Ovis aries: one gene and its partners. The protein of the gene in region 4 purifies or fractionates together with the protein of the main gene of each other region. This does not show direct contact. Links are inferred from orthologs where the notes say so. Each region holds a gene or a part of one and is shown on either strand. Other genes may lie near its edges. The genes, in order: PTGFRN, IGSF8, ITGA6 and CD9.

Region 1 (8,623 bases), on a different chromosome or scaffold from region 4:
AGGAGCCACTTCCGAGCTTAGCCCAGGAAGCCTCTAGATAGCCCCCTCCATGCTCTTTTCCCTTTGTGCTACGCGCTCAGTCACTCATTGTGTCTGACTCTCTGCAACCCTATGGACTGCAGCCTGACAGGGTCCTCTGTCCAGGGGATTTTCCAGACAAGAATACTGGAGTGGGTTGCCATTTCCTACTCCGGGGGATCTTCCTGACCCAGGGATCAAACCTGCATCTCCAGTGTCTCCCACATTGGCAGGTGGATTCTTTACCACTGAGCCACCTGGGAAGCCCCCTATTTACGGGGCTGGAAAGGGGATGATGACAACCCAGGTGAACTTAGAAACTACAGGCTGAAGACAGCAAAACCACCATCAGCCTGGGAGCTCAGAATGCCCATGTGAAACAGCAGTCCCACCCGACCATTTCACTGGAAACACCTCCAACCCACTCCCCGGCCCCCCAGGAACGGCTAGGAAAGACACTTCTGTTGTTCGAACCGCTGCGCTTTCAGTCTATTTTGTGAGAACAATTCAGCCTACCCAATAGAATAATACAGTACCCATCTATGAAATTTGGATTTTAAAACAGATGCAATGTTTTTGTTGTTTAGAAACTATTTTGATGGGTTTGCAACTTTTTTAAAAAAGATGCACACGAAGAGAGAGAGTATCTTAATCCCTCTCCACAGTCTTCATACCTCCCACTCTCTAATTCATGCTGCACACTAGGACTGACCTCCTCAAACACATCACCATGCTGTCTCAATCTCACACTGCGAATCTGCAATGGCAGACCATAACCCACAGATAAAATGATATATACATGCCTTCATCCAGGCAGCCAGGATTTACCAAACACCTGCTCTGTGCTGGACACCCAGTATGAGCAATACTACAGTGAACAATACCAACCTGGTCCCTGCCTCATGGGATATAATCAGAGTGGGGATTTAGAGCAGGAAAAATCATCCACAGGGAGATAAATAAGTACTCTGATGGGAGAAGCACAGTTGTGCAGCAGCACCCACAAGGCCAACATCCAAATGGCAAGGACCTCAGCACTGCAGGAACAGCTTTGAGAATCCAACCCAGACCCACGTTTCCAATTTGCCCTCCTAGTGTATCCTCTGCCCTCCTCCAGTTTCATGGTACTTCCATGCCCTTTCTGAATGAACCATGTCCTTCCACTTATCCACGCTGGATGCCTTTCCCCGGAGCCTGGAAGCCTCTCCCATCTTTTCTCTCAAAATACTAATTATCCTCAAGGCTCAGCTCAAATGTCACCTCTTCAGCAAAATCAACCTCAATCCCAAGTCAAAATTAATCATCCTCTTCCTTGCTTCCTACCAGCACCTGGTTTCTATGTCAGGTATGTCATTCTGGCTTGTAGTTAGCTTTTATTATTAACTGTCTGCCCACCCCAACTGACCACTCAGTGAGACGCTATGTCTTGGTCATTTGTCTGGGACACTCTTATTGCCACAGTGGGGATTCAAGAAATGCTGTATATACAGATGGATGAGACATAGGCCATGGAAGTGAAAACCTGAAGCTGAGTGTGTTCTGCTGTGATCATGATAGGTAGACTCATTTAGAGAAGCTTTACGGAGGAAGCAGTTTTAAGGGGGAAAGGAAATAGGTAAGAGGGAAGAAGAAGGAGACACTTTCCCAGGTCATGAGAAATGGAAAGACCAGAAGGTCTACATACATTCAATGTAAAGGGTAGCAAACAAGTTCCTTAGAATGAGAAAGGCCCTACTCAGAGAGAAGTAGCAAGGAAGAGAATACAAGGGGCAGAACATCCTCAGAAGAAAATCATAAGGGATCATGGAATTAAGGTGCACCTCCAAAAACAATCCGAAGGGAGGCTGGTAGGAAAAGTCAAACAGGAAGATGTCAGATCTGTGTAGGGAGCTGTCAGAACTGGGGCTAGGACAGTAGCTTTAGATAAGGATGAACAGAAGATGCTGGAGTCTGCACTATAGGAAAAGCGACAGAGTTGAGGGACAGAGTGAATGTGGAGGTCAAAGAGAGGGACAGTAAGATTATGCCCAGGTTGCAATACAAGAGGAAAGATGATCTAGCTTATCAACATACTGGGTGGCAGGAATCAGTACAGCGTAGAGTATCACAGGGAGGGCATCTGAGAGGTCAAACTGAAGCCACACCAAGTGAGGTTCGGTATGGCAGAGTTATTACATAAACATGAAGTTCAGTAACTGTTAGGGGACAAGGCATTCACTGGTGACACCAGAGACATTCCCGGTGCATAGGTGACATGAGACGTCCAGCCAGGCAGGGTGCACTGGTATACCTCAAAGCTACCCCAAGCCGGGCTTTCCCCACTTCTGTTTTTGCTTTCGTTAGTCTCTCTTTGCCCTTTCTCTCTTTTCCTCTTACCATAGTTACTCAAAGACATTCTTTTCAAATTTCTACCTGGCCGCACCCACTTAACTAGTGCAAGGGTTGTGAATCACACAACTCTAGGGAGGGCCATTCACACAGGCAGAACGTGACAGCAGCTCCTAGAGTTGTTCCTAGAGTTGAGCAGTGTACAATCAGTGCAACCAGGGGCCGCGGCCCTGCCTGACCCAGACACATCAGCCAATTACGTAAAGGGTGTGGACTATCACCAGCAGTGTGCACCAGAGGGAAAACCTACAAGGGTCCCAGAGTGAAAGGAAGAGAATAAAAGCACTAAGATCTGAGAGCACAGAACAGATGCCACAAAATCAAGTGAAAGACGTGCAAGCTTTCTGCACCTGGTGGCATCTAAAGCAATGTGGTGGCTGGGTGAGCTCTCTTAGGGAGGCAGTTCCAGAAAACCCCTCAGAGGGGAAGGAAGAAAACACAGTAGCAGCTAGGAAGGCTGGCCCCCACCAGCGGCAGGAGTCACAGGGGTGGGGACAGTGTGAGACCCGATGCCAGGCTGGGAGTGGCAATGGAAGGCCTCCACTGGGACCCTCTGGCCGTAAGTGCAGTGTAGTCACTTAGCCTGTGTGCAGCTGGGGCCTGGCTAGGATAGACACCACACACTGTGTGGCTTTATAAAAGATTCAGTTCTGCCATCTCCAGGGGTGAGGAAGAAAATCCCCGCGCAGGTCACAGGATTCCTTCTGTTCTGGTTGACGCTGACTAAAGGCTTCAAGTACAGCTTTTAAGAGTCAGCCTCCCTGATCCACGGTGGCCACTTATTAAGCAGATGATTTCTGTGGCTGATAACCACTTGGTTATACTAATATAACCACATTATACGAGGTGAAGATGGTGTCTGTGTCTATGGAAGATGGGGGCGGGGTGGGGGGGAAACACCAAAGATTCCTTGGGTTGGGTGGAGGAAGCTGGGTCAAATGATCAGGAGGCACCGAGGTTTAGAGAGTGTGCAAGACAGGGGACATCAAGGGAGAAAAGTAACAGGTAGGAAAAGTTGAAGAAGCCAAGGCACCCAGGTCTTTGTGTGCAAATATGCAGCGAGGCAGCTTCTACAAGCGCTGAAGGAGAAGACTGAGGCAGAAAAGCTAGTTACAGCTAACACAACGGAGGGCCCCGCACACCCATTCTGACTGTAGCGCTCGGGGCCACCCGGTGACCTTCGGAGAAGGAAGTTGGTGGATCCTCTCGCTTCCCTGGAAAGGCAGCTGGGCGCGGGGTAGGGTGTGCGGAGCGCGGTTCTGCCGCTCTCGGCCATGGCGGGGCAGATGAAAGCCGCAGATTTCCGCTCGCAAGCCCGGGACTAGGGCCGGGACCGCAGGCACCTTCCGGGCCGGGAGTTCAAGGTGAGCCGGCAGCTGGCGACTAACAGGTAGGGAGGGCCGGGGGAAGCCGGCCGCGGGCCACTCCCCCCCTGCACATGGGGGCGAGGCTCGGCCTACAGGACGGCGACTCGCACCCCGCGCCCGGCTCCGGGCGGCCCCGCGCCCTCTCCCCAGCCGGGCCCTGCCTCCCGCGGACCCCGGCCAGGTCTCCCGGGAGCGGCCCCGGCCCCGTTGGCGCTCCAGGCCGCGCGCGGCAGCCGCGCCCCGCCAGTCCCCCCGCGCCCGGCCGAGCCCCCTGCGCCTCACCGGGCCCCGCGCGCACTCACCCAGCGACAGGAGCGCCAGCAGCAGCGGCCTCGGCGCCAGGCGCCCCATGCTCGCCGGGCGGGAGCGACTCTCCCCCTCCTCCTCCTTCCCCGCCGCCTCTCCTCCTCCTCCTCCTCCAGCTCCGGCTGCTCCAGAGTCAGCGCTCCTCCGCCTGGGCCGCGCGCCTGCTCCGCTCTCCTCGCGAGCCGAGAAATCCCAGCGCTGGGGCCGACGTGCGCCCCTCGCTCCGCTCGGCTCACGCCCGCCTCTGCCCGCCTCCTCCAGCCGGCCGGGCACCGGGAGCCGGGCGCCAAGGCCGCCCCGCCGAGCCAAGCTTGCAGCCCCGACCGCTTCCCGAAAGCAGGAGGGAAGAACCGCAGCACCCGCCCGCCCGCGCCTCCCATCCGGCGCTTTGCCAGCAACAAACACAAACTTTCCCAAGCCCCTCCCCGCTCCAGGTAACGGAGGCAGCGCTGGGACCACCCGCTTAAAGGGGAGGAGGCGTCGGAGCCCACCCAGCTCTCCCCCCTCGGGGCCCCCGCCCCGCCACAAACTTTCCTCCGACCTTTAAAAGTTGGCCTTGGAAAGACTCGTCTGGAAATCCCATCGCTTGAGCGCCATTCCTAGCCACCCCGCGTCCCACCACTCTGGAGTCCCCACGTGGGCCTCCGGGTCCCTCTGCTAACTCCCCGCACGGTCACCGACTCGTCCCGAACGAAGCACCCACCAACCAGCCGCTAGGACTTGGCTAAATATTATCCAGATAGGACTGAAAGAGATGAAGGGACTTAAACGCCGGGGATGCCAGCCTCCAAGGTGCAGAGGCGTGAAGTGTTTGGGTGCCTTGCCCGAAGATTCACAGCGAAGTGTCAAGACCAAAACCCAGATCTCACAGGCTCTGCTCACTGCCCTGTGGTTGGGTAGGCCTCGCCTCCCGTCGCCCACCTCCTTCCTTCCTTCTCCCGGGTGCCTATGGCACTGATTAACACTTACCACAAATAGACCCATGGTGGGGGGGTGCGGACGCTCAGAACCCAAGTGTATTAATAGCTTCAGTACTTCATATGGAATGTACTCTTTAAACTTTTTATTTATTGCTTTAAGTGGACAGAACTGGTTGCCAATAAAGATTCTTTTCTTCCCCTACAATGGGGCTTTGTGCTTTTAATTTGAATACAAAAGACCCAGTATTAGGGAGAAATTTTTAGTGTTCATTGTTTAAAACTTCTCAAGGATAATTCAAACACAGCACTGGTGTCCCCCACCCCAACCCCCCAGTGCCGCAGCCTCTCATTAATAAGTGCAAAACAAAGCACAGATGTTAGTGGGGAACTGCCCCAACTAGGGAGAGGAACTTTGCTTTTTACCTCAGTACATCATTATTTCCACTAACAAGTGTCTCTTATTTCCACTAACAAAAGTGCCTTTAGCCAGGTATGAACCCATCTGCAAGAGACTTAAAAATTTGTCCCTGATGGGCCAATAATGTGAGTGTACTTAATGCCATTGGACTGTAGACTTTAAAAACAGTTAAAATGGTAGATTCTGTGTTATATATGGGACTTTCTAGTTGCTCAGTGGTAAAGAATTTGCCTTCCAATGTAGGAGATTCCAGTTAAATCCCTAAGTTGGGAAGATCCCCTGAAAAAGGAAATGGCAATCCACTCCAGTATTCTTACCTGGAGAATCCCATGGACAGAGGAGCCTGGCAGGCTACAGTCCATAGGGTCGCAAAGAGTCAGATAATACTTAGCAACTAAACAACAACAAAAGGTTATATATGTTTCAACATGCTAAAAAAATTTTTTTTAAATTTATTTTTGTCACAAGCCTTTTTTCATGCTATTCACCCACCCAGCAGTTCCTTTGCATTTCCTATCCCATGGAATCCTCTAGAATTTCTCTGGGAAGTCTTTCAATTTAATTCAATCAGCCTTAAATGCAAGCCTCATGTTAGGCCTTGAGAGATGCTGAAGCTACAGAGAAGAGTAAGACCTGACCCCTCCAGAAGCTCAAATCTTTCCCTTTCTTAACTACCCACAGTGCTTAACATTTGAAGCACACATTCTGGCACTTGGTCACATTCAGTTTAGCCCATGCTACGCACTGAATGTACTGTGTCCCCCAACCAAACTCATATTGAAGCCCTAATCTCCAAAGGTATTTGGAGGTGGGGACTTCAGGGCGTAATTAAGTCCAGAGGATGGAGCCCTCATGCATGGGATTAGTGCCCTTATAAGTAGAGACGTGAGAGGCATTATGCCTACATCTATGCTGTGTGAGGGTACGGCAAGGAGGCATTTGTCTGCAAACCAGGGGAGGGCCCTCACCAGGTACTGAATGGGCCAGCATCTTGATCTTAGACTTCACAGCCTCCAGAAGTGGGAGACATAACTGTCTGTTGTTTAAGCCACCCAGTTCATGATATTTGTTATATCAGCTCAAGCTGACAGCAAACACGGTGCTCCCATCTCTGTCTAATAGTGGGAGAGAGAGACTGTCATGTGCTCGTTTTATGTCTCACATCACTGTAGAGTCGATGTTTGCTAAGAACTTTTGTTTAACAAAGTGCAAGTCAGGAAGTATGCTGTCACATGGCGGGTCTTCAGTAAATATTTGTGGAGTAAACTAATGCCACTTACTGGGCTCGAGCCTGGGGAAACAGAGGTGAATAAAACCGTTCCTGCCCTTGAGGTGCGTGCAGTCTGTGCATCCTGACTCAGCACGTGTGACAGCACTGCCAGATGCAGTTGTCAGTCCTGAGGAAGCTTGTCCAAAAAAGCTCAGTGGGGATGACTGTGAACCGAGTCTTGAACGACCAGCAGGTCTCTAGCTGTGAGGAGGACGGATGAGCCAGCAATAGCCATTGTGTGGAAGGTATTCTTCTCTCCTCCCTTCCCCACACCCAGATATTATTAAATTAATGGTGCATCTTACAGTCATTGAAACAGCAGTAGTTGGTTGAAATGGAAAGAAGAAATAAGACAGTCCAGGCAGGGCCAGAACAATGAGGACAAAAGTGGATGGTTTCTTGGTAGTGGGTAGTCAACTGTGTCATGTCATGAGAGTCAGCCCTAGATAACCGTTTATGTAGCAGAAAATGAGGCTAAATTAATCACTACAGGTGCTTGGACATAGCACCACACCCTTTGCACAGCCCTGACTACCAGAGGATGGAATATGTTTCCAGCTAAAGGAACATAGCACCTGAAACCGACCGACACAATGTGTTAAGTCATAACTCTGGAATGTGATGATGCTTTCATTATAAAAGACTTTTATTAATATTTCCCGAGTCAGTAACCCCATGTATAGGTAAGGCTTTTGCCCCAGACAATTGTTCCCAGTTTGCTTAGTCTGTAGGCTTGCCTGGGGCAGGAAGGCTCACTCTCCAGTAACTGATCCACACCCATCCCCAAGGAGGGGAGTCCCACCTCTGTAGGTTTCCTGCCAGATCACGGAGACCCTCAGAGGCTCAGGTTACAACAGCCAACCCTTACAGTCTTTTGATTACTGGGATCTGTCTGCAGGCGTTGCCCCTGAAAACCCCTGAGGGTCCCACATTCTCACTTGTAACAGGTGTTCCTGCTGAGATCAGTAAAATCACCTTACTGGTTAAAGGTGAACATGCAAATGTCAAAAGGTCCCAATGAATGAATTTGCCAGATTATCCTAAGAGTCACCCAGACCCTGTGAGTTACCTGTGCTGCTTCCGTCAGCCCGTTCTCTCTCTCTCCTTCCCTCGCTTTCTCTCTGCCTCTGTTTCTCTACAGATGACCCTGATGCTACTTTAGCAGAATGGCCAGCAAAAGAATATGTCCTACAGCATCATTTCCTTCCACTAATCATTTTCACTACGTTTCCTTTGTATTGGTTCCAGGTGTCTGTTTCTCCTATTGAAGTTAAACACGGGGATTCCTAATCAAAAAGAACTTTAAGATTTAATCACAGAATTAGAGAATGGAATTAAGAGTTTAAAAGGTAGGGGTTGGGGAGAGGAAGACTTCATTTACTGATGAGTGAACGTCATTCAGGGAGGCCATGAGGGAAGTTGTGGAATGCCCATCTGACAAGTTTCAAAAACAGAAAAGGGCCTTACGTGCCTGGAATGGGTTAAGTATGATCCTGCCAAAGGCTGTGCTCTGTGACCTCTGGCCTCAAAGACCAAAATGGGAGATAACAGAGAAAGTGTCCTTAGATGTCTAGAACTGGCCCTGATTCCAGACCAGGAGTGACTTCCAAGCATTTACTCCTTCAGCGACGCCGGGGTGAAAGTGTGAGGAGAAAAATAAGAAAATGGAATGAGACAAGGCTTTTGCAATAAAAGCTTTCTACAAAAGTGAGGCATTATTACTATATTAAGAGTATGCATAGCCCTTGCCCTAGAGGAGTTTATAATCTAGTTTAGTGTATCAAAAGACCTGAAATGCTATAAAGGAAGGGGGAGAAGATTGATGCCAAAAGAGCGAAGGAAATTGAAGGGGAGTAAGTAGAGAGAGAGGCACCAGTTATTGTGTGTAGTTTTGTGCCAATATGCTATCATCTGGGCTGAAAATACCTCCAACAAT
Region 2 (6,592 bases), on a different chromosome or scaffold from region 4:
CTCCTGGCCCTTGCCAGGGTCCCGCAGAGCTGAGAGCGGCTGGGTAGGGCCAGGGAGGGAGCCGTTCATCTCAGGACTGGGGAGGACAGGGCTGGGGGTTCTCACCCCTCACCTGGGGTGGGAGGAATCACCGTTTCCGCAGCCGCTTCATGAAACAGCAGGTGATGGAGCCGAGGATGGTGGCTCCGACAACTAGCGCAACCCCCGCGCCCACCAGCAGGGGCACAAACAGAGTGTCCAGGGCTGGGCGAGAGAGGATGGCTCTGCTCAGCCTGGGGTGTCCCTGCTCTCCACCCACAGTCCCACCCATCTGCCAGCACCTTCTGTCAAGCTGTCCACACCACCTCCCCCACACACACAGTCTTCTGCCGGCTCCCTGCCTTCTCTGCACTCAAGCCAGTACCCACCACCAGGACACTGGAGCAGCTGGGTGGCGAACGGCCGAAAGCTGGACTTTGGGAGGAGAAAGAGGGACCAGAGGGACAGCTAGTGGGAGGATCAGATGCAAAGGAGAGAACAAGAGCGGGGGATGGGGGGAGGCCTGAGCAAGGAGGAGAGGGCGGGCGTCACTCACCATGCGTGTATGGGTAGACTGTGACAGGCCCCGAGCGGGCACTGCCCGCCTGGTACCAGCTGTAGTCAGCGTGCTGCACCCAGGCGCTGGGGGCACAGTGGTACACGCCTTCGTCCTCAGGCCCCAAGCTGTGCAGTCTCAGCCGATGGCTTCGGGGCCCCACCAGCTCCACGCTGACGGGGCCTCCTCCAGGCCGGACCCCCAGCTCCGCCACACCGTCCTGGCCCACCCCGCCCACCAGCTGGGCAGGGGCAGAGCTCAGCTCCCCCTCCTCCGGCCGCTCCACCCACCAGCTGGCAGCAAGCCGCAGCCCAGGGGGGCCGCCCCGCACGGAGACGTTGCAGAGCAGGGAGGCAGTCTCCCCGCGGTACACTGCGCCTCCCGCCAGCCAGGCCACGGCCTCCAGCACCACACCTGCACAACGAAGGTCAGAGGTGAAAGGTCAGGGCACATGGGATTTTCTGAGCCCCCAGAAATTCAGTGTTCCCACAATCTTAGAAGAGGAGTGTGAGGCTGAGACATGGAAGCAGCTGATGGAGAGGGAGAGAGGCTCAGAAACGGAAGGGAAAGGTTCTACAGACCCCGAAACCTGTCCAGGGTCCAGCCTGCCCCGCTCACCTTCTTCTCGGACGTGCACGGGGAGGGGCCGGGAGCGAGCACTGGCGGCTTCACGAAGCCGGGCCCCAGACCCTCGGACGTAGGCCTTGGCTAGGCAGCGGTAGGTGCCCGCATCCCCAGGCCGGGCAGCCTCCAGCCGTAGCCGGTAAGTTCGGGAGGCCACCTTCTCCATGGCAATGTGCCGGCCCTCGTAGCCAGGGCCCAGGCTGCCCACTCCCTCCGTGTCCAACTGGGCCACCAGGCGGCCGGGCCCAGGTGCCCCTGCGGGTGCCATCTCCCAGCCCACAGAGTAGGCGGCATGACGGCCCGGGGGGGGCAAGGCCCCCGACACATTGCACAGCAGCTCCAAGGGCTCCCCTGGGCCGACCCGATGCTCACCAGGCCCTACTGTCACTGCCAGCTGGCTGGCTGGAACACAGGCAGGAAAAGAGGTGTCAAGGAGCCAGGAGAGGGCACGGAGCACCTGTCCCCCCTTGACAAGAGGAAACTGCCCCCCATCTCTCCCACCCGGGGGCCCGACTCTCACCCTCAGCCGCGGCCCTCCCATCTCCACACCCATATCTGAGCAGAGAAAACCCATCATGGGGACAGATGCTAACGGGAAGCAATGCTAACGAGACTGCTCACTCGAGGTCTCGGACCACGGTCCTCTAGGGTCCCTGAGATACTCTGGCTCCCAGCTGGCACTGGGGGACCCCAGGCACTCACACAGTGTCTGAACATCCACGTGCGCCAGCACAGCCCTCTTCTCTGCTATCTGGGCCCAGCTGCCATCCGGATCCTGAATCCACTCGGTGGCAGTGCAGTGGTAGGTGCCTGCATCGTCCGCTTGGGCACCGCCCAGCACCATGCGGTACCGCTCGGACCCCTCCTTGCCCAGCCGCAGCTCCCCGGCTGCCAGTCGTGCGGCATAGGGGGCTCCAGCGTCCACTGCCAGGTCGGGCCGGAGCCCCACCACTTCCTGCAGAGTCGCTCGCCCCACAGGCACCTCGGGCACAGCCCGCCCAAAGGACACGGCCAGGTGTGTGTGCTTCTGCGTGCTCGTCCTCGCCAGGCAGCCCAGTGCCAGCTCCTGCCCCTCATGCACTGTGAGGCGAGGGGGTGAAGTCGGGGCCTGGCGGCCTCGCGGCCCCGGGGGGCTAGCAGACACCTGCAGCGTGTCTGGAAGAACTAGAGAGAGCAGGTGGAGTGAGGGGGCGCTGTTGACCTGTGTGAGCTGTTTTCCACCTACATCTTATTTCCCTAAATAGACCGTGAGATCCTAGAAGGCAGAGACTTCGTGTTGTATCATTGCTTCTGTAACCCAGTGGTGCCAAGCCCAGTGCTGGCACACAGCAGGCACTCAGTAAATACTTGCTGAGTTTCATAGAACCAGCTCATCGCCTACTCACCCTTATGTTTGAGAGTGACCCCTGTTTGAAATACTCAGCTAAGTGGCTCTGTCTTCCTTCCCGGAAGACAAAGAACCTTAAGAGAGCAAGAATGTCACATGGTCTCCCTCTTCCTACCCTGCCTCTACTTTCCCCACTCCTCCCCCAGATCTGGATCCTGAAATCTCCAGGCATGGAGTCTGTTCACCCTATGGGGCTCCCCCACCCTCCAGGGAATGGAAAGCTTCAGGACACTTCCCCGTCTCCCAGGAAGCCGCTTGATAGAGTAAGAGCTGTGCTGTGCTTAGTCATTCGGCTGTGTCTGACCCTGTGTGACCCCATGGACTGTAGCCTGCCAGGCTCCTCTGTCCATGAGGATTCTCCAGGCAAGAAGACTGGAGTTGGTTGCCATGCTCTCCTCAATAAGAGCTGTGGACTGGAATGAAGAGTTCTGGGTTAGAGTCCCAGGCCAGTCACTAATTTGCACAAAGTCAAATTAGGGGACCTCCTTGGACCTCAAGTCCCTCTTGAGTTGCGGCTGGCCCTGACTTCCTGCCTTTGGGAGAGAGTGGCCCCACCCTCTCAGGGCCCAGTACCTCTCAGTTCCACTTTGCCGCTGTAGCTGCCCAGGTAGCGGGCATCAGTGGAGGGTGTGTAGCATTCGTAAATGCCAGCATCCTGGGCCTGCAGGCGGGAGATCCTGAGCACCGCGGCATCACCCTGCAGACGCTGCACCTGAACCTCGCCAGCTGCCACTCGGGGCCCAAAGATGGCGTAGGAGAACCGGGTGTCCCTGGTGCTGACAATGCCCAGGGCAGCCTCTGGGGCCTCGGGCCTGTACAGGAACCACTCGAAGTCCTGCTGGGCAGAGCCCTCGTAGCCACTGACATTGCAGGAGATGGAGACGGCAGTGCCAGCCACGCGGTACAGGGGCCCCTGAGGGACCAGCACTTCCCGGGCACAGCACCCAATTCCTACGGGGAAGGACGAAGTTAGGCACGCCTGGGTCCTCACTGCATCCCCCCAGCACCCGCATCATCCTTGCTGCCTGCTTGTGAAAGGAAAGGAAACCCGAGGACACTCGGTGTACAGCTTGGGCCCCGTTCTGAGAACCAGGAAAGGATGCTGGGAGGCAAGACACCTGGGTCTCAAGGAGGTGGTGGGAGAGAGCCGGTTAGCCTCAGAACACAGAATCATCCCTGTTCCTGGCAGGCCAGAAGCAGAGCAGCTAAGTGAAGGAAGGGGTGTATCTGCTTTCTGATTTAACCATTGCTTGATTCCAGCTGCACCTCCCCTTATTACCCCACTCTTCTGTCTGCGGACCAGGTGAGCCTTCTAGCTAAGGGATCCTGAGACCACATGTCCCCCTCCTTTATTTAAAAGGAGCTGGAAAAACTTTGATCAGAAGGGCTGGTTGGCCCAGCTGTGTCACCTGGGCCAGGGGACTCCAGACAATGGAGCCACTGGCCCGGGCAGGAGAGGGTACAGGCCCTGTCAGTTCTCACCACAGCATCCCTCCCCCCTCTCCAGCTGTGTCATGAGCTCACTGCTTCTCCGCCCTCTGGGGCTGCCGAGGCAGCTGAGGCTCATGGGGCAAGAACCAGCCTCTGCCCTGGGCTCTGGGGGCAGAGGCTCCCCTCCCCCACCAGTGCCTGCCAACCTTCCCCGAAGGCCCAGCTGACACACAATCCTCCCCCCACCCCCTAAACAAAAGCCTTAATTTGCATATAGTGTGCATTCATTTACATACGGCTCGCTTTCTGTAGGGAGGCTGTAACGACCACCACCCAGCCCCCAACCCGCCCTCACGGTTGTCCCCTCCCATCTTTCTCTACTCAGAGAGGCCAAAACTCTTCTTCACCCCACCCTCACCCCTAGCCTGCCCTCAAAGGGTAGCCCTGTGGCCTTGGACGGCTCAGCTTCTTCTTCTGTCTTTCCACAGCCCCAAATCACAGAATCTCAGGACACAAGGAGGGCTGGGTCAACTCTCTACCTCCATCTTACAGATGAGAAAGGTAAGGTATGAGAAGTAGAATGTCTTGGCCAAGTTCCTACTATCCTTGGCTGGCCAGAGGCAATGGGAACACACAAGGGGAGGCCTGAGGGCAATGGCCTCACCAAGCAGAGCATCACTCCAGGGACAGACCCTAACCTTTCTGCAGGGGCGGGAGGAAAACACCTAGTCTGTAGTCAGACTGTCCTCCAGAAGCCCTCCCCATAGCTCCGTCTTCTCCCTGCGGCTGAGTCATGGGGAGACCTCGTGGCTGCTCAGTTAGAGCACAGGCTGGGAGTCTGGAAGCCGAAGCCGAGTTCCAGCTCCATGCCCAATCCCAGCTGTACCCTGTGGACTAGCCCCATCCACACTACACTGGAGGAGAGCTAGGAGCTCTCCACTTTGACAGGGAGATAGCCTGTGACTCAGAAGGGCCCTGCCTCAGGGCATTTCATAATCAGCATGACGGAGCTGGCCTAGGGGCAGACTCTGCTCAGGAGGGCCCCCTCCCATCTTCCTGGCTCCACAACTGCTGATGCTTGGAGATCCCCATGGGAAAGTCACCCTCACCGCCTTGGGAAACCAGCTGCCAGGGAGCTCTCTCCAGGCCCCCTCCTGTGGGTTAGCAGAGAAGGAAAGGAGAGCATAGAGACCTGCTTCGGGTCTCTGGTGTGGGTTCAAATGCAAGCCCCAACACTCACTCAGTGTGTTCTCTGGGGCAAGTTATTTCATTTTCCTCACCTTCAAAGTAACAGTAAGTGCCCGCATCCAGGACACTCAGATCCCACAGACTCTCTTATCTCTCTGCGCCACACTTACCCTGGGCTCCTCTCCGCGCCACGCTGCCCACTGGGGAAAAGAGGCCCAGTGCTAGGTAACCAGGGCCCACAGCTCCCTGCTCTGTATGGCCCCGCCTAGCGCCCCAAGGAGAGGACTCATTCTAGTCCCACAGGGCCCCGGGACCTATGCAGTACAGGGAGGCCGCTTGGCTCTGAGATGGAGCGCTGGTCTAGAAACAGGCGGCTAGGGCTACGTCAGCCTCTGCCTTAACTATGGCAGCTCTGAATCCGGGCACCAAAGCCACCCCCTCGCCGCCCTCTGTTCTGATTTCAAGGGTTGCAGTCTCCTGAGTCTGTGTAGGCAGCCACCGTCCCATCCTCCTCCCCAGGCCAGCCCTACAGGGAGCCCTCCAGTCCACACCCAGAACATTCCCACTGTCACTCCCTCATGCAGCCTTGCAGCAGTGGCTCAGACAGCCCACCGTGAACACCCACCACAACAGACACGGGGTGCTTGGGGGTCTCAGCATCAGTCTCCAGGGAGCCTGGTTTCTCCTGAGGCACGGAGGCTGGGACTAAGGGGGTGTGACAGCTGGTGGGAGGCTACAGAGACAAGTGCTATCTGAGAGACCCGACCCAGGATGAGGCTGACGCGTCAGATAATGAAGTTGGAGAGGGGGATGCAATTAGGGGAGACTTACTTCAAAAGATCGTGGGCAGAACGGGCCCCTGGGCCTCCAGCCAACTCAGGCGATTATGAAGATGGCCAGGCACTGCCCACGCAGGGCGAGTACCTAAGGCCGGGCCTGAAGCTGAGTGTGAGGCAGACAGGAGTCGCAGCGCCCCCCGGACCTGAGTGTGCCAGCAGGGAAGCAGGACCCGGCCCCCGGAGGCCTGGCGGTCCCTGGGGACCGCACTTTGGTAGGTCCAAACTGTGTCCCAGCCTAGGGCCTAGAACTGGGGAGCCTCATCACCCCCGCAAGACTGGCTAGGCCGGCGGCCACAGAGGGAAGCTGGACGCCAGGCCCGGGAAGGCTGGAGGCGCCGCTGAGGGAGAAGGGGCTACCAGGGGCTCCGAAATGCTGGGGTGACGACAGGGCTGAACAGATAGCAGGCACCTGCCGGGCGGGGCTGGGAGCTGGGGCGGGGGGCCGGGCTTACCCAGCATTAACAGCAGCAGCGGCGGCGGCGGCAACTTGGGACCGAGGGCGCCCATCCTGCACAGCCGGCTCTAGGAAGGCTCTGGGGGGCGGCGCGG
Region 3 (7,835 bases), on a different chromosome or scaffold from region 4:
TTCCCTCTGCCAGCAATTTACATTCATATAACTAATTAACTTCCTTTTGTAAAAATATAGTTAGCATTAGTTTTTGCTGTTTTGTATTTGCTTTTCTGATGAAATTGAAAGTTTTAATTTTAACATAGGGATCTGAAAACTGAGAAGAATTGAGTGGTGTTGTATACAAATAATATTATATTGATACAGACATTTCTTTAGTCATATATTACTCGGGCTATGTTTTGCTAATAAAGCAGGGTAGTTAGAAAGATAAGAAATTAGGAAGTTTTGAGATGATCGCAGATAACTTGTGGAAAGGTTGTTGAATGATATTGTTTAAATAATTTCAAGATGTAGGTGAAGGGCACGACATCATATTTTTTGCCTGGAGGAACACGATCCGTGTCCCTGTAATAAAAGTTCAACTTCTGAAAAAATTAAGCAGATGTAGAAAACCGCTCTATTATAAAGGACAATTTACCTGATTCTAATTCATAGCAAAGAGTAATATATCTGATTCAGAAATAAGATTTTTGGGGAAGAAATTTATTGGAATAAATCCTATGTTCTTACATTTTGTATAGTCAGAAAAACATTGGGAAAATTTTTCATTGTTCATTCAGAAATTTCCAAGTTTTGATTTCTGTTAGGAATGGTCCTTGAGCACCTTCCTGGGTATGCCATTCATAGCAACCTTTGGGAATAATTTCCTCAGGCTACCCACCCTGAGCTGAATCTTCCACATAGCAGCATTTGTTGGGTTATCTTGACCTAATAACACACGGAATTTAGAAATAGTTTTATTTTAGCAAGAGACGGCATACATGGTAAAACAAAATAAAAACACCCACCAATTATGTATGTTTTAATTTCTGGGAAATACATCTTGCCTGCTTTGTAAATGCTGACTTAAAATGTTACCACTTAAAAAAAAAATCATATAGTAGACTTATTATGTGAGATATTCTCTTTTCAATGATTAGGTCTGAAAATTTTTTGAAGATTTAAAATCTCTGGTTAAAAATGATTGGAAGAAAATATCAAAATACTAATCTTGCTTTCACACCATAGTAGAGAAGGTAAATTGATTTAGGATTATAGAAAATATAAAATATATCAGGTTCATATAATTAAAGAGTTTTCTGTAGGTTTAGTTAATTAAGCATTCCATTTTCCATCTATAATTCCATTTTCATGGCATTAAAAAGATAATTCATGAAAACACGTGTGCATTTTTTTTATTACTAGAACAGTTTTGTTTGATGTAAAAATCTACACAAACAGGATTTTTTAACTTTAATAACCTCAGAAGTCACCTTCTGCCTTTTGTCCCTCCAAATTTTTCTTTCTGAACTTAATGATAACATCAGGAATGTTTATTAGAACCATCTATTTTATTTTGTTTCATCTTCATTTTTTTTTCTTTTTTACCATTTCATTCTTTTAGGGATTGTTCGCGTAGAGCAAAAGAATAACACTTTTTTTGACATGAACATCTTTGAAGATGGGCCTTATGAAGTTGGTGGAGAGACTGATCATGATGAAAGTCTAGTTCCTGTTCCTGCTAACAGTTACTTAGGTAGGCATGAGAGTAGATGACATGCCTGCCTCCTCAGATGCCTCTGTGTGACACTGCTGTCACAGGACCCTGGACTGCGAGGCTGAGAAAGGGCCAGACTGGGGCTGGGGGCCTGTGGCTGCATTTAGTGGAATTTAGAGCTTGGTGATCCCTGAGGTATTCTGACTGATACTTGGGGTATCTGACCCGAGCTGCCTCAAAGCAGGAGGAAACCTACTGTCTCCTAAAACCTTCTGACCTGCCTGGAGGTCTGTTTCCTGAGCCACCGTCCACTTCTGTAACCCGCACCAGGCGGTCCATGCAGCCGTGACACAATGCATGCTTGTAAGCAGGAGGCCGAGTTGTCTTCCTCTCCCTTCAGAGTCTCTTTTCGGAGAGATACTCTTGAAGAGCTGCATTTATGAAGTTATTCTTAAGTGGCAGGTCAGGACCTCCAGGTCCATCCTCTGTGACTGCCCCTCTCCAAGGGTTGGCCTTGCTTCTGGATTGTCACAAGGCCCCTGGTGGGTGGCACGGGGGGCTTTCCAGCCGAGCCAGAGCCGCACTGCTAAAGCAGCTCCGAGGACACCCAGATTGTGGTCTAAGTGCCAATTCCTTAACTCCTGACGCTTGTTTGCGTTACTAATGGGTGTCCTAAATTATTCATGTGCATTATGGTAATTACACAAAGGCTTTTAAAAGCTTTAATTCTTGGTATGAGTTGACATAAAGAATAATTACTGTGTAATTCTTGGAAAAAATGTAAAAAATCTACTAAATCTAAATAGTATCCTATTCTTTTTAAAAAATAGAGAAGTACCATATGCTGGAGATCTTACTAGAACAATGGAAGGTTACAGAGGGGAAATAAATGGGTGTAGATCTAAAAATAATTCTAAACAAGATATTAGTAAACATATTCTTTAAAAATTGTTATAATTATATAGATATGTATGAACAATACTGTTAATTAAAAAAAACTTTTCAGAAACTCCCCCACCCCTAAACTAAAAACTTGATGTGAAGACATAGAATGGAGAAAACTTATACTTACCATTTGTTAAGCACCTACTGTATGCTATAAATCACACACTGTTACTTACTACTTTATAGGTTTTATTTGTTCTTTCCAACTATATTATAAAATAAGTATTATTTTCCTTTTGCTGATGGGCGAAAAAATCCCTGTGACTGAGGGAAATTTCCTAGTCCGAGGTCACACAATTAATAATCCCCCAGCCAAGGGAAGAAATGCTCATGAAAATGATTGGGACAGGGTGGGAAGCAGCTGGGTATGTGAATGCTGTCAGTGGCTTTGCAGGACAGGAGGGGAACACAGGGCTGAGTGGTTTGCAGTCTCAATTATTAAATAGGATTTTCCAGGGTAAAATTATTTTCAAGGTAAATATTAATACTATCAATAAGCCAATATTTTATTTGAATACATTTTAACAGAAAACCTCTTCAAATGAGTTACTAAGGGATTAGTTTATGCCATTTCAGTTTAATGGCTCTGGTCAAGAAGCCAACACTTTTGTTCGTAAGATAGATGCCCATGGATTTTATCTTAGTGTCTATTGGAACACGTGAAACTATTAAACTTTTTTTATTAAACACATTTGCCACTTTCAGAATGGGTTTCCTCAAAAGCGGGTACTGGGTCGGGGTGGAGAGAATAGTGCCACATTCCTACTGCTACATTTTGGCTGTCTGTGCATCTGTCATTTCAAAAAAATCAGCAGGTTTTAGGAGGGAAATGATCTGTGTGAGGTTTGGAAGCTGGCAAAGAGGGTGGCTTTCGGATGCAGCGGTGGCCTCATCATTGCGAGCACGGCAGTAGCCAGTGTGCCTCTTACCAAGCATAATTGCTTTTTCTTCAATCTCTTCTGTCCCGTGCATGTGTACAGGCCTGCTGTTTTTGACCAGCGTTTCCTATACAGATCCCGATCAGTTTGTTTATAAAACACAGCCTCCCAGGGAGCAGCCCGACACATCCCCTGATGTGATGATGAATAGCTACCTAGGTTTGTGACCTCTGAGATGACAAATAAATAGTCTTGGTCATGGTCATTTAAGAATTTTTTTTTTTGATCCATACAGAGCATAAATCTTTTTATTTTCTATTTCATTTCAAGTGAAGCACACACAAAAAGCATGCCGCTGTTGAGGCTCTGCAGCCAGAATGGCTTCCAGAGCTGGATTCAATTGTGTCTCCTTTCTAAACTTGTAGCTCTTCCTGTTTTTCAACTCACTTCACAATTTGAGAACTGCAGCAGTAGTGGTGATGCTTTTCGTAAACAAAACCCAATTAAAAGGGTGAGCTTATAATATTCTGCATCTGCCTCATCTTCACATAGGAAGGTTTGCTTTATTTGGACAATTTTGATGTGTGGACATTTGTGTCTGTTTGCCATTTAACCTCAGTTGGTAATCTGACATCCTACCTGATGCTTTATGATGAGGTTTCTAATGTTTTTCTGCCCTCCGAACAAGTGTGTAATTGATATGGATGACAGCTTGCTCACCTCTATTGTTTACGCTAGGTTCTCAAATCTCATCAGTCATGATTTTGTTTGCATGTTTCTGTCTGAGAACTAAGTTGGCCCTAAGGAGTAAAATGCTGGCTGTGGCATATTAATGTTGTTAGCATTCTTTTATTGCCTGATGACCAGAGAGATTGATGAATATAGAAGTTAACTAATCACTGCATTATAGCAAGACCCATAGGCACTCAATTATGCTATGTCAGGTTGCATCTTGGTGTACAGGATGTAACTTTCCCTTGATAATTTAGTATCTAGCTTGATCTCCTTTTACAGCAGTTTCAGTATTGGAATGGAGTTTGAACTGATTCTTAAGCAGCATGTATGCTTCATGATTGAAGTTACACAAATGCTAACTAGCACAGGTGCTTTTCTTTAAATACCTTAACAGGGAAACACCTACTATTTTGTGCTTGAGTCAAATCTCTTGGTGCTGTAATTCTTATCATAGATATGATAGCTTGGGGGGAGGGTCAGAAGGAGAGTGGTGGGAAACGAAAGGTAGTGATGAAGTAACCACTGTTACATACCTCCTGAAAAACAGAGTTGATAAGTACCATGTTTTGTTTTTCTAGGCTTTTCTTTGGACTCAGGGAAAGGTATTGTTTCCAAAGATGAGATCACTTTTGTATCTGGTGCTCCTAGAGCCAATCATAGTGGAGCTGTGGTTTTGCTTAAAAGAGACCTGAAGTCTGCACACCTTCTCCCTGAGCACATATTTGATGGGGAAGGGCTGGCGTCTTCATTTGGCTATGACGTGGCAGTGGTGGACCTCAACAAAGACGGGTAAGAGCCTCTGAGGTTAGTTTACATTTGCAAAGAACTCATTGCTGCTCTGGCTTCTATAGGTGTTGAGAGGAAATACCTTTCCAGGTTAGTTGATGCAAAGAATATTTCTGCTGCCAAATTTTTACCATCCCATCAGTCTTCCTCACTTATATTTTGGTAGCAGACATTCATTACCCTCCCTAGGATGTAGGATTACATTTTCAGGCTTCAGTTTTTACTATGTCCTAGGATCATGGGTCTGTGAGAATTAAAATTTAACTTAAAAAAAAAAAATGACAGCTATGTGGTTCTGTTCTGTGGTTTCTTAAGGGGATTTTGGAGCAGCCAGAATGTCCTCTTGAAAGTAGGGATTGGTGACAAAGTTGATACAAAGGTCTCTGGTTGATAGTGCCAATCTGGGTCTTTGGTAGAGGGTCAAAGGTGGAAGGGAGTGGAATCTTTACTGGGAGGCTCTCTGCACTATAGATGTAACTTGGAAACTGGCTTCAAGTTCTTACAGTTCATGTTTTCCTTTGGGTGTTATTAGAGGCTACCTAGTTTTTTTAAAAAATACTTCAATTGATGAGATATAAATTCCAGATTTGAGGTCCTTTTTATCATATCTCTTTGTGTCCTTAGTACCCGTTCATGTGCAATTCTCCCTAAGCTTGCTGATATTTTGGCCAGTGGTTTACAGTTCTTCCCCTCATTATGTTTTCAGGTGGCAAGATATAGTTATTGGAGCCCCACAGTATTTTGATAGAAGTGGAGAAGTTGGAGGTGCAGCATATGTCTACATTAACCAGCAAGGCAGATGGAATAACGTCAAGCCGATTCGTCTTAATGGAACCAAAGATTCTATGTTTGGCATTGCAGTCAAAAATATTGGTGATATTAATCAAGATGGCTACCCAGGTAGACAAATAGATTGTGAAATGGTCATGATTTATAGATTATGTGATTGTCTAAAATAGTGAGTCCTCATGATCTATTTTAAAACATTGTATTGGAATGCTTTTAAAATGTGACATTTGTTAAAACGTGGTGTTGTTAACAGATATTGCAGTTGGAGCACCCTATGATGGTAAGGGGAAGGTTTTTATCTATCATGGATCTGCGAATGGAATAAATACCAAACCAACACAGGTAACCAGATAACTTGGATTTCTACAGTTAAGCTCTCAGTAGTTTTCTTTCCAATGGATTGTTTAGGTTTATGTGAATTTTCACACTAATCATGTGTTACTTACAAGTCTAAAATAGTATGAACTTTGGTTTTATAAAAAATGTATTAGAAGATAGCTTGTAAATAGATTTAAATGCAATGAGCTGCTTGTTTTAAATTGTAAAATTTCTTTGGTAAACTAAGGATCAAACTAAGCCAAAGGAAAAGACTCTTCTACCCTGACAGCATAAAGAGATAGAATGTGATATATTTTCTTTAGTAGCATATTAAGAAGGGATGAAACTGGACAGACATAAGAGATGATTGTAATTGCATAGAGAATCAGATATCAAAATCTAGAAATTGCTTTAGAGGAAAATAAGACATTTGGAGGGCAGGAAGAGAAGTTTGGTTTGAAATACACTGATTGACTTAATATGGTACATAAAGTTATCAAAAATTCTCTTCTGTCTTTTGAGATACACCATAAATCAGGTAACTTTTGTGAAAATAAAATGCATGGAATGTTTGATCATGTGTGTACTTATTTATAATTCAGTTGTGATTTAATATAATTTGTAAGTAAACTCTTTAACTTCAGTTCAAAAGAGACTTATCTTCATAGCATAAATGAAAGACTTATCTTAGTAGCCAGGTGTCTGTTCTGATGTCCTGTTCCTTTCAGGTTCTTGAGGGTAAAGCACCTTTTTTTGGATATTCAATTGCTGGGAACATGGACCTTGATAGAAATTCCTACCCTGATGTTGCTGTTGGCTCCCTCTCAGATTCAGTGACTATATTCAGGTATGTAATCTCTGGCTTTAAGCTTGTTTGGTAAATCTACTTACACTAGAGTTGGGTGTTTTTTTTTTGACCTTTTGAATTGGAATTTGTAACAACTGTACTTCAAAGGCAAAGTCTAGGTTTTTTCCTGTGAATATACATGTTTAACAAAATTGAGATTGTAATGTACATATCGTTTTGTAACCTGCTTTTGCTGGTTTGTAATGAATAGTGGCCTTTTTCTGTGAGTGAGTATAATGCATAGTGGGTTATTTCCCTGTCGTTGAGTACTTTTCTGAAATGAAGTTAACGGTTGCCTGAGACATTACATGGGTCATGTGTTTATTTAACAACTTTTGGGTTGTTTATTTTGGGTCATAGTTTATTTAACAACTGCCATACTGTCATACTGTCATTGGACAGTTAGGTTGCTTTCCAGGTTTGGTGGTTTACTTCCTTAATACACAAAGCTGGTGAGCATCCTTACTTTTCTTCATGTCCTAGATTATTTCCTTATGATAACTTCCTAAAAGTGAGTTGCGAAGTTGAAGGGCATGTGTGTTTTAGGACTTGTGATTCCTTCAACCAAAATGATCTCCAGAAAGGCTGCAGCGGTTTGCCCATCAGCTGTGTCTCAGTGGCCTTATCCCAACAATTCCATCACTGCTGGAAATTGCCAGGAAAAATTGTGCAAAACATTTTTTTTTTAATTTAAAAAGTAGCATATTCTTTTTCTTTTTTTAAAAAAAGGTTAATACAGAATTGCAGTTAAGTGCAAGTTTTCCAGTATTCTTTCCCTCCATCAAACAACTTTTAATAGTTTTGAGTCTCTCTCCACTTCTAGGGTATCCTCAAACAGCCATACTATAACTGCTGTCTTCTATTCTGGTTTGTAAAAATTAACCTCTTCCATTTTCTCTCCTTGTTAATGCAGATATATCAATCTTATTCTTTTTAAAAGCTCAATGTTATTCCATAATATGCATTTAATGAGTCCTTGGTTGATGGAATTTTTAGATAGTCTGACTTTTAGCTA
Region 4 (8,557 bases):
CCACTTTGAAAAGAGAGTAGAGTGTGTGTGCCTGTGTAGGAATCCTGCTCCCCCCACTCCCGCCCCCAGGGCTCCCATCAGGAGTCAGACCTGTTGTTGATAAGCACTGGAGGGCAAAGTGGAGGGGGTAAAAGCCATCAGGAGCCAGGCAGGGAGAAGTCCTATTTTCCTGAGCAGAGGCAGACACCTGGCCTCCCCTCCCCTCTCCCCTAACCTGCCAGGCTCTGTGCAAACACAGCCGGCTCTTGCCGGGCTCCGGCTGTCCGGTTGCCAAAGGGTGGAAGCCATTTCATGCAAGAGCCCAGCAGCCTGCCGAGCCCAGCACTGAGCAAACAGCCTCTGGGGGGAAGCCGCAGGTTAGGTAGGAGGGGCATCAGCCAGCGCCACCCCTGTTGGTCCATCCCCGACCCAGACCCCGAATCCCAGCGCCTCTGCAGTTTGATTTCCAGAGGTGGGGCCACTCATGACATGGAGTCAGTGTCCTGAAGTGGGGATCGCAGAGGTGGGTGGAGGAACGAGGCTGGCTGTGACGCAGGAGGAGAAGCCCGGACGTGTGTGGACGAGGGGTGTGCACCTGGCTACCTCTCTGGTTTCATTCCACACTTCTCAGGCAGTGGCTCCCACCCTCCCTACGTCCTTTCCCCTCAGGGATGATAAGAGCCACCCAGGACTAAGCTCCTGGGCCAAGTGCATCACAAGCACATGCTCGTGTAACCCACAGCCACCCCGGGGCAGGGGGGGCAGGCACCAGCTCCTTGTGATGATGCAGAAATCGAACCCAGAGCTGCTGGTGCTCTGACCATTGGGCAGCACTTCCATGAAACGCTCACCCAGGGGGAGACCTCACCCAGGAGGACTGGAGGTAACTCCAGGGTTAACAGGAAAGAGAGGCAAGGCTCAGGTCCCAGAAATAAAGGTCAAATGAAGCCACTCTGTGAGCCAAGCCTGGGTACCCACTATACCCTTCCATTTCCGGACTCCTATTCTGGGTCGTGTGGGAATGTCCTTCGCTGTAGGTCACGGGGGTGGGGCTGGTTTCTTAGGCTGACCTTTTGGGACCATTTGCTCCAACTCACTGGTCTTACAGATGAGGAATCTGAACTATGGAGTTCAAAAGTGACCTGCTTGGTTACTGTATAGCACAGGGAACTATAGTCACTATCTTCTAATAACTTATAATGGAAAATAACTTCAAAAATAATAAATGTGTATGTGTATAACTGAATCATCTTGCTGTGTGCCTGAAACATTGTAAGTCAACTATATTTCAATAAAATGTATATATTAAGAAGAAAAAAAAAGTGACCTGCTCGGGACTTCGCTAGTGGTCCAGTGGTTAAGACAATGCTCCCAATGCAGGGGGCATGGGTTCGAGCCCTGGTCGAGGAACTAGATTCCACATGCCGCAGCTAAATAAAACACACACACACACACACAAACAAAAGTGACATGCTCAAAGTGGGCTGAGGGCAGAGCTGACTAACACCCAGGTCCCTGATCTCTGGTTTCCACGAAGCCTGTCTTAGGCCCAGGAGATACTGTTTCTCTGGAAAGAGAAATTCCCCGCTCTTCCCATCAGTGAGGGAGGGGACAGGGATGAGGTGGGGGGACACAGTGAGCAAAGGGGCAGAGGGAGGTGAGGGTAGAATGGGAAAGCCTGGCCTGGCCCAGCTCTGGTTCCCCACTAAACAGCTGAGGCTGCCACTCTGGCATCACAACAGGTTTCCCCTCTCAATCTTTTCTGGAGGGTGGGTGGGCAAGCAGGTCAAAGGAAACCCAGAAACAATTAAAACAGAACTGTGAAGTTAAGAGTTCTGGGGCCACTGGAAGGACAGAGTGACTGCTGACTGGGCTGCAGGCACCAGGGGTCTTACTTTGGGGAGTGAGGGGCAGGTGGTGCAGGCTGTGCTGTCACTGAGGGTCCCTCAGGAATGAGAGTGGGGGCCAGGGAAGAGGTACATCCTCCCTCCTTGATTGCCCTTGCCATCAAGGTGGGCCTCTCCTCTCTGGATCCCTGCAGGACCACCCGTCTCAGCATCCCCTGGCCATGAGGTATGGGTGACTCCTACCCTCCCAACTCCTGCTCTTTAAGGCCACATCAGGTTCCAAACACTAAATTTATAAATTCTGAGTCTCAAGACAGAAAGGGAAGTGACGACATAACGATCCAAGCAAGGAGTTCCCTCAGGTCACAGCTTCCCTTAAAAATCACTTTTTGAGGGCTTGTTGCCACCCTCTTGTCATTCTCATCCAACTGGGTATGGTGGCTAGAGGTGACAGAAAGTGCACTGGGTACACTGCAGCCCATCAGACTTGTTTTCAAACTTATCTCTGTTGCTCTCCAGCCATCTGACCCTGGCTAAGTTACAGAACCTCTCTGGGAACTGGTTTCCTGGTCATTGGTAAAAACGGGGGTAATGCTTTCTGCTCTGACCGTATTGTGGAACTTGGAAAAGGACTTTGCAGGCTGTACCGTGCTGCACAAGGGATCACAGTGTTCCTTTACTCCATCACCTCCTAGGAGATGAGGGCTTCATCTCTATAGGGACCTTAATACAGGAGTACTGAACAATGGGCTTCCCTGGGGGCTCAGTGGTAACGAATCTTCCTGCCAATGCAGGGGATGTGGGTTTGATCACTGGGTCGGGAAGATCCCCCGGAGAAGGAAATGGCAATCCACTCTAGTATTCTTGTCAGGGAAATCCCACACACAGAGGAGCCTGGTGGGCTACAGTCCACGGGGTCATAAAAGAGCTGGACACAACTTAGCGACGACACAACAACAGCGACAACAATAGCTGATTCAGATTCATGCAGCTATTGCTTACCCCCCACACCACCCGTTGCCAGGCCCCCTTGTTGGTTTTGCGATGGAGAAGTAAGAGGACAGGACCTAAAGGATCTAGGGGCTGAGGTATTGGCTTGGTTCCCGTGATGCTGATCGGATCAGCCCAGTTCCGGTTCCCACTTCTTTACTGTGAAGAAGTTGGACAGGATGACCTCGAAAGTCATTCCTAATTCTACACCCAAAATGAGTCATCTCTGTTTCAGGTGACACTGCCCATCAGCAGCACTGATGCCCAGGTTGGGGCAGCTCTGGACATGGGTGGGGTGGCAGGCTGGAGGCTGCCGGAGAGGTCTGGGAGTCGCCCACCAGGCTCTGCCAGGCTCTTCTGTCCATGGCATTCTCTAGGCAATAATACTGGAATGGCTTCCTGTGCCCTCCTCCTCCAGGGGATTTTCCCGACCCAGGGGTTGAACCCATGTCTCTTGGTGGGTTCTTTACCACTAGCGCCACCTGGGAAGCCAAGGAGTCACCAGGGGACTAGCAGGGGAAAGAAGGTGCTAGGGAGGGGCTAGAGGAAAACTCCTTAAAGGACTAGGGTGGGGAAAGGCGGGGCTAGCCCGCCTTCCACATTCTTTTCTGGTGTCTCGGTGGGGGTGAGGAGGAAGCCAGGTTGGCAGCTAGCTGGGTGGCTGCTGGGACTGATGGGAATGGAGGGTCTCCCTAGAGCAGGCCCTGGACTGGGCAAGGCACGTCTATGCTCCACCTTCACTAGGGCAGGTGTTTGGTGTGATGACTTGAACAAGGGCAGGTCCATCTCATACCCTGTCAGCTCCAGGGAGAGGAGCAAATCTTGTGAGACTTTCCCCTGGGGCTCATGGGGAAACAGATCCGAGTGAATAAGTAGTTTTGTTACAAGCCTCCTGTGGCATGCCCCTGCTTCTATAGCCATCTCTCTCTGGAGAGCGGCACAGGGTCTGCCTTTCCAAATGCCTTCCTAATGGCAAAGGGGAAAAACCGTCCACCTGTGAGCGGGGGAAGTGACCCTGGAACTAGGACACCAAGTCCCCTACCCCTTGCCTCTGTCTCTGGGGGGCCCCTTAATCCCCCTAGGGAGGGCTCCGAGGGGCCTCTCCCCTTCCCCGCTGCCCGCCTCAGGCTGCCGTAGGCTGAGAAGCTGCCAGTAGCCGGCAGCGGGAGTCCTGGAACTCCCAGGCCTGCGTCCTCCCCAGGTGACAGTCCGCTCCCGGTGGCCCCACCCGGCTTCTGGGTGGGCTGGCGGGGGAGGAGGTGGGGTGGCCACCTGATCCCTCCCGGAAATGGAGAAACACGGGACTCATCCCACGCGGGCGCCGATAAGCATCGGCCCCAACTCTCCCCAACTGCCTCGGAGTTCTCTCCAGTCCAGATACTTATCGCCCTTTGGGGAAAAAAAAAATCAAGACAAGCTAGTCTTTCAGGTAGTTTCGAGGGAGCTCGGACTTTCTCACGCCGGCTCAGAATCAGTCTGAGAGGTCGGGGATGCAGGAGGGACCCCGACTTTCATTCACGAATGGGGTCCCGGGATGCCGACATCCGCGGTTGGGGCGTCCCTTCCCCTCCCGTGCAAACGTGCCAACAGCTCTTGGCTGAGCGTCCCTGGCGAGTCATTAGTCCCTTTTTGCGTCCGCATCCTTCCCCTCCTCGCGGCCCCGGATACTCGGGGGACCCCGCCCGGGTCACGAGCCGCACAGTCCGCCACAGCCTCCCACGATCAGGGCCTTAAGTCCCCAGCAGAGGGGTGCTCTGATTCTTCCTCCTGCACTCTGAGGGGCTCGGGGTGGGAGCATACACCAACTCCAACCGCAGCTCATCAGGGCTCTTCAGCCGCCCGCCTCGCTTCGGACGCGCCCCGGATCAACCCGCCCGCCCCGCCCGTCTCGACTCGGGCCGAGGAGTTAGCTGGCGGCCGCAGAGCCCTCTCCTCCCCGCCAGGAGTCTTCCCCGCGCAGGCGGGGCGAGTGCCCGGCAAAACCGATCGCGGACTGAGTGCGCCGGGCGGACAGGTGGACCCCGAGAGGCGCGCGCGGCCGTCCACTCACTCACCCAGAAGATGAAGTTAAATCCGAAGAGCAGGTATTTGATGCACTTGGTGCCTCCTTTGACCGGCATGATGCGAGCTAGAGTGGCCTGGGTTGGACAGATGTGAAACGGGGCCGCGTGAGGCCGGGACGGGCGGGACCGGGCTGTGGACTGAGGTGCGCGCGGCTGCTGGCTGGCCTCGGGGCTGCACTTTTAAAAAGTGCCACTCCTCGGGCGCGCGACGCCGCGGTGCGCATGTGCCGGGTCCCGGCCCCGCCCCGCCCACGCCCCGCAGGCCCCGCCCCCGGCCCACCTGCCACGCCCCGCCCAGGTCCGGGGGCCCGCGGCTCGTCCCGCCTCTGTCTCAGTGCTCCCCACCTAGTTGGCCGGACCTGACTTCCCGCCTTGCCTTCCCTTTTCTCCCAACCGTCCTGGAGTCTTTCTAGGCCGTCATCCTTGGCCGATTTCATCCTGGAATTATGTGAAGGCCTCACTCCTCTCGGTTCTCTCCTGGATTCTGCCCCTCCCGAGCCCTCTGCCCTAGGGAGAACTTCCCCGGTGGGTGGTGAGGGCAGAGGCCCCTTACCCAAGGTGGCGCGCAGAATGAGGGCTCTTCTTGCTTGGGGCCCGATTTGAAGAGAAACTGCCCTGTTTCTGTCTCCCTGGGGTGGCTCCTTGTACACTTTAACTCTGAAGCACACTCTTCACTCGGCACATGGAGGCTTGCCTTCCGGATGGGAGGATTCGTAGGGGCTTATGGAAGTAATCCTGAAATACCATCAATGAATAGTGATAGGTCTGAGAGCTGGACAATGTGGGGTTGCTTCCTGGATCTGTGGTTTAGATGCCCCAGAGAAGAAAAAGGCTGTAGCCTGGCTTCTGTTCTTGCCTCTTCTCCTCATCACCCTCCTTCTTGCCCTTGCCACTGCCCACTGTCACATCTTTGAGCTCCTGTGCCAGAGTTCTTAGGGTGTTTCTCCTCTGCTCCAAAATGTCCAGCAAATGACAAATGTTGGTTAGGATGTGGAGAAAAGGGAACCCTCCTCGATTGTTGGGCTGTGCTTAGTCACTCAGTTGTATCCAACTCTTTGCGACCCCATAGACTGCAGCCCACCAGGCGCCTCTGTCCATGGGATTATCCGGGCAAGAATACTGGCATGGGTTGCCATGCTCTCCTCCAGGGGATCTTCCCAACCCTGGGATTGAACCCAGGTGTCCCGCATTGCAGGCAGATTCTTTACCATCTGAGCCACCGGGGAAGCCCCCAAAACTGTTGAGAGGGAATACAAATTGATACAACCATTATGGAAAGCAGTATGGAGGTTCTTTAAAAAATTAAAAATAGAACTACGCAGCAATTCCACTCCTGGGTATTTGTCCAAAGAAAATGAAAACACTATTTGGAAATATATTTGCACCCCTATGTTCATTGTAACATTATTTCTAGCAGCCAAGATATGGAAACAACAGAAGTGTCCATCAATAGATGAATAGATAAAGAAAAAAAAATATATATGATGAAATATTACCCATAAAAAGAAGGAAAACTTGCAACCACATAGATGAACCTAGAGGGTATTTTGCTAAGTGAAATAAATCAGAGAGAGAAAGACAAATGGAATCCAAAAAAAAAAAAAAGTATAACTAACCAGAAACAGATACAGAGATACCAACAGTTGGTTGCCAAGTGGAGGTGGGTAGGGGGAGGAGAGAAATAGGTGAGGGAGATTAGGAGGTACAAACTTTCAGTTGCAAAATAAATGAGTCATGGGTATGAAATGTACAATGTAGGGAATATAGTCAATAATTATGTGATATCTTTGGACAGCGACAGATAATAACTAGACTTACTGTGGTGATCATTTCAAAATGTATAGAAATGTCGAATCACTATGTTATGTATGTATCAGGAACTGACACAATGTTGTAGGTCAATTATACTTCAAAAACAAGCAAACAAGCTCAGAGATAGAGATTAGATTCGTGGTTACCAGAGGTGGAGGTGGGGAGATAGGAGAAGGGGAATTGGATGAAGGCAATCAAAAGGTACAAACTTCCAGTTGTAAGATAAATAAGTACTAGGGATTTAATGTACAATACGATAAATATAATCAATAGTGCTGTAAGTTATGAGGAAAACTGTTAAGAAAACAAATCCTAAGAGTTCTCAGGACAATGAAAAACACGTAAATATTTTTCTGTTTCTTTCATATATGTATATGAAACATGGATATTCACTAAACTTACTGTGGTAATCATTTCATGATGTACATGAGTCAAATCATTATGTCATACACCTTAAACATATACAGTGCTGTCCGTCAATTATATCTCTGTCAACTAAAAAAGATGCACAACGTGAGAGTTGTGAGTTAAGTTTTATTTGGGGCAAAATGAGGACTGCAGCCCAGGAGGCAGCACCGCAGATAGCTCTGAGAGACTGCTCCAAAAGGGCAGTGGGAGGACGGTCAATATACAAGATTTTGGTGAATGGGGAGTTTGATACCATCAAGCACTCATTTTATGAAAGGTTTTCTGCTAGTCACGAGGATTTGATGTCATCATGAAGGGATTTAGTGCTTTTCTAGATAGAAGATGGCAAGGATTGGAATCATAAAATTTGTTCCTGAAAATATCCAACTGTATGAAAACCAGTTCCACCAGGTTCCTTGGAGCACAGAGTGCCTCACTCTCCACCCTGAACCCCCTCCAGGTGTTTACGGTCAGCAGCTGCAGCAGTGCAGGGCTCAGTCTCTGCAGAGGCAGATGGCAAACGCCCTTGCTGTTCAGTCACTGGCAATGCTCTTGGAAAGTGCCAGTTTGCAGTTGACATCTCAAAGAAACAGGAAGAAAAAAATACTTTCCGCAGCTCTCCTACATTCAATGACTTAAGTCAAAATTCCTTATTTTGCCCTCCACAGCACCCCAGCCCTGCAAGTGGCATGTGGTGTGTTCCCTCTGGCTGGCTAACCATCCCCTCTTCACTTGTAAAAATTCCATGCCTCCTTAAACATTCCTTTCCTGGTTCTCACCAAAGGATAAGGAGATTTCCTCTACTTTTAAAAACCCCAAACCCTTTCCCATTTTTTTTTTTCAAAATGAAGTTTCCTTTTTTTTTTAATGACAAAAGCAAAACCTCCTTGATTACCAAAACATCAGAAAATACCAATAGGCAAAAAGAACCTAACTCAAAATAACACCTACCCGAAACAGCTTGTATTACCCAATTTGAAATTATATTTTGCTCTGTTTATTACCACTGTTACATTTGTCTCATCAATTTGTTCATTCAGGGCAAATGTGGTTTCAGTGTCCAGGCACATGAGGGTATATTCTTAGAGCAGGAGGGGACTGAGCCTGTTACATGACCGCAAGGAGTGAGGCTTGAAGGCCAGGGGAGCTCAAAGCAAACTTTTGACCCAAACAGGGAAGCAGGCTGCATTGAAAAGTGGTTGTAATCAAGGGAGGATTGGGCAAAGTTAGGGTAGGGGCTGTCTGGAGTCTGGGCTGGAACTCACAGTAGTGGGGAGGTGTGTGGGGAAGTGAGGTGGGCATCTGGCTAGAGGTGCCTCCTGGCACTGGACTCTGCCCTCAGGGGTGAGGGATCACTGGTGGATTTAAGCAAGGGGAACCTGTTTTGCGTAGTTGGGTGGTGGGGGAGCAGGAGGGGCAGGCAGAAGGCTGCTTGACTCTAAGGACCATTGTCTGTGT

Evidence for each region.
Region 1: the proteins of CD9 (region 4) and PTGFRN purify together in Homo sapiens (co-immunoprecipitation; 8 studies listed by BioGRID and IntAct, with this or other methods). This does not show direct contact. The link is inferred for Ovis aries from reciprocal best matches to the Homo sapiens genes CD9 and PTGFRN.
Region 2: the proteins of CD9 (region 4) and IGSF8 purify together in Homo sapiens (affinity purification with mass spectrometry; 5 studies listed by BioGRID and IntAct, counting the BioPlex papers as one, with this or other methods). This does not show direct contact. The link is inferred for Ovis aries from reciprocal best matches to the Homo sapiens genes CD9 and IGSF8.
Region 3: the proteins of CD9 (region 4) and ITGA6 purify together in Homo sapiens (co-immunoprecipitation; 3 studies listed by BioGRID and IntAct, with this or other methods). This does not show direct contact. The link is inferred for Ovis aries from reciprocal best matches to the Homo sapiens genes CD9 and ITGA6.

Annotation. Positions count from the first base shown.
Region 1 is NC_056054.1:94,307,172-94,315,794, reverse strand, and holds the start of PTGFRN (prostaglandin F2 receptor negative regulator), read right to left. Parts: upstream 4,434-8,623; 5' UTR 4,125-4,433; coding exon 4,076-4,124; intron 1-4,075. UniProt on the Homo sapiens protein: Inhibits the binding of prostaglandin F2-alpha (PGF2-alpha) to its specific FP receptor, by decreasing the receptor number rather than the affinity constant. Functional coupling with the prostaglandin F2-alpha receptor seems to occur.
Region 2 is NC_056054.1:111,124,438-111,131,029, forward strand, and holds part of IGSF8 (immunoglobulin superfamily member 8), read right to left. Parts: 5' UTR 6,551-6,592; coding exon 6,496-6,550; intron 3,537-6,495; coding exon 3,159-3,536; intron 2,363-3,158; coding exon 1,901-2,362; intron 1,601-1,900; coding exon 1,193-1,600; intron 989-1,192; coding exon 575-988; intron 244-574; coding exon 128-243; 3' UTR 113-127; intron 1-112. UniProt on the Homo sapiens protein: Member of the immunoglobulin superfamily (IgSF) that links tetraspanin-enriched microdomains to the actin cytoskeleton and plays several important roles in innate and adaptive immunity.
Region 3 is NC_056055.1:137,377,095-137,384,929, reverse strand, and holds part of ITGA6 (integrin alpha-6), read left to right. Parts: intron 1-1,429; coding exon 1,430-1,561; intron 1,562-4,658; coding exon 4,659-4,869; intron 4,870-5,572; coding exon 5,573-5,766; intron 5,767-5,908; coding exon 5,909-5,997; intron 5,998-6,701; coding exon 6,702-6,820; intron 6,821-7,835. UniProt on the Homo sapiens protein: Integrin alpha-6/beta-1 (ITGA6:ITGB1) is a receptor for laminin on platelets. Integrin alpha-6/beta-1 (ITGA6:ITGB1) is present in oocytes and is involved in sperm-egg fusion.
Region 4 is NC_056056.1:209,984,360-209,992,916, forward strand, and holds the start of CD9 (CD9 antigen), read right to left. Parts: upstream 5,078-8,557; 5' UTR 4,937-5,077; coding exon 4,871-4,936; intron 4,474-4,870; exon of another isoform or gene 1,307-4,473; intron 1-1,306. UniProt on the Homo sapiens protein: Integral membrane protein associated with integrins, which regulates different processes, such as sperm-egg fusion, platelet activation and aggregation, and cell adhesion.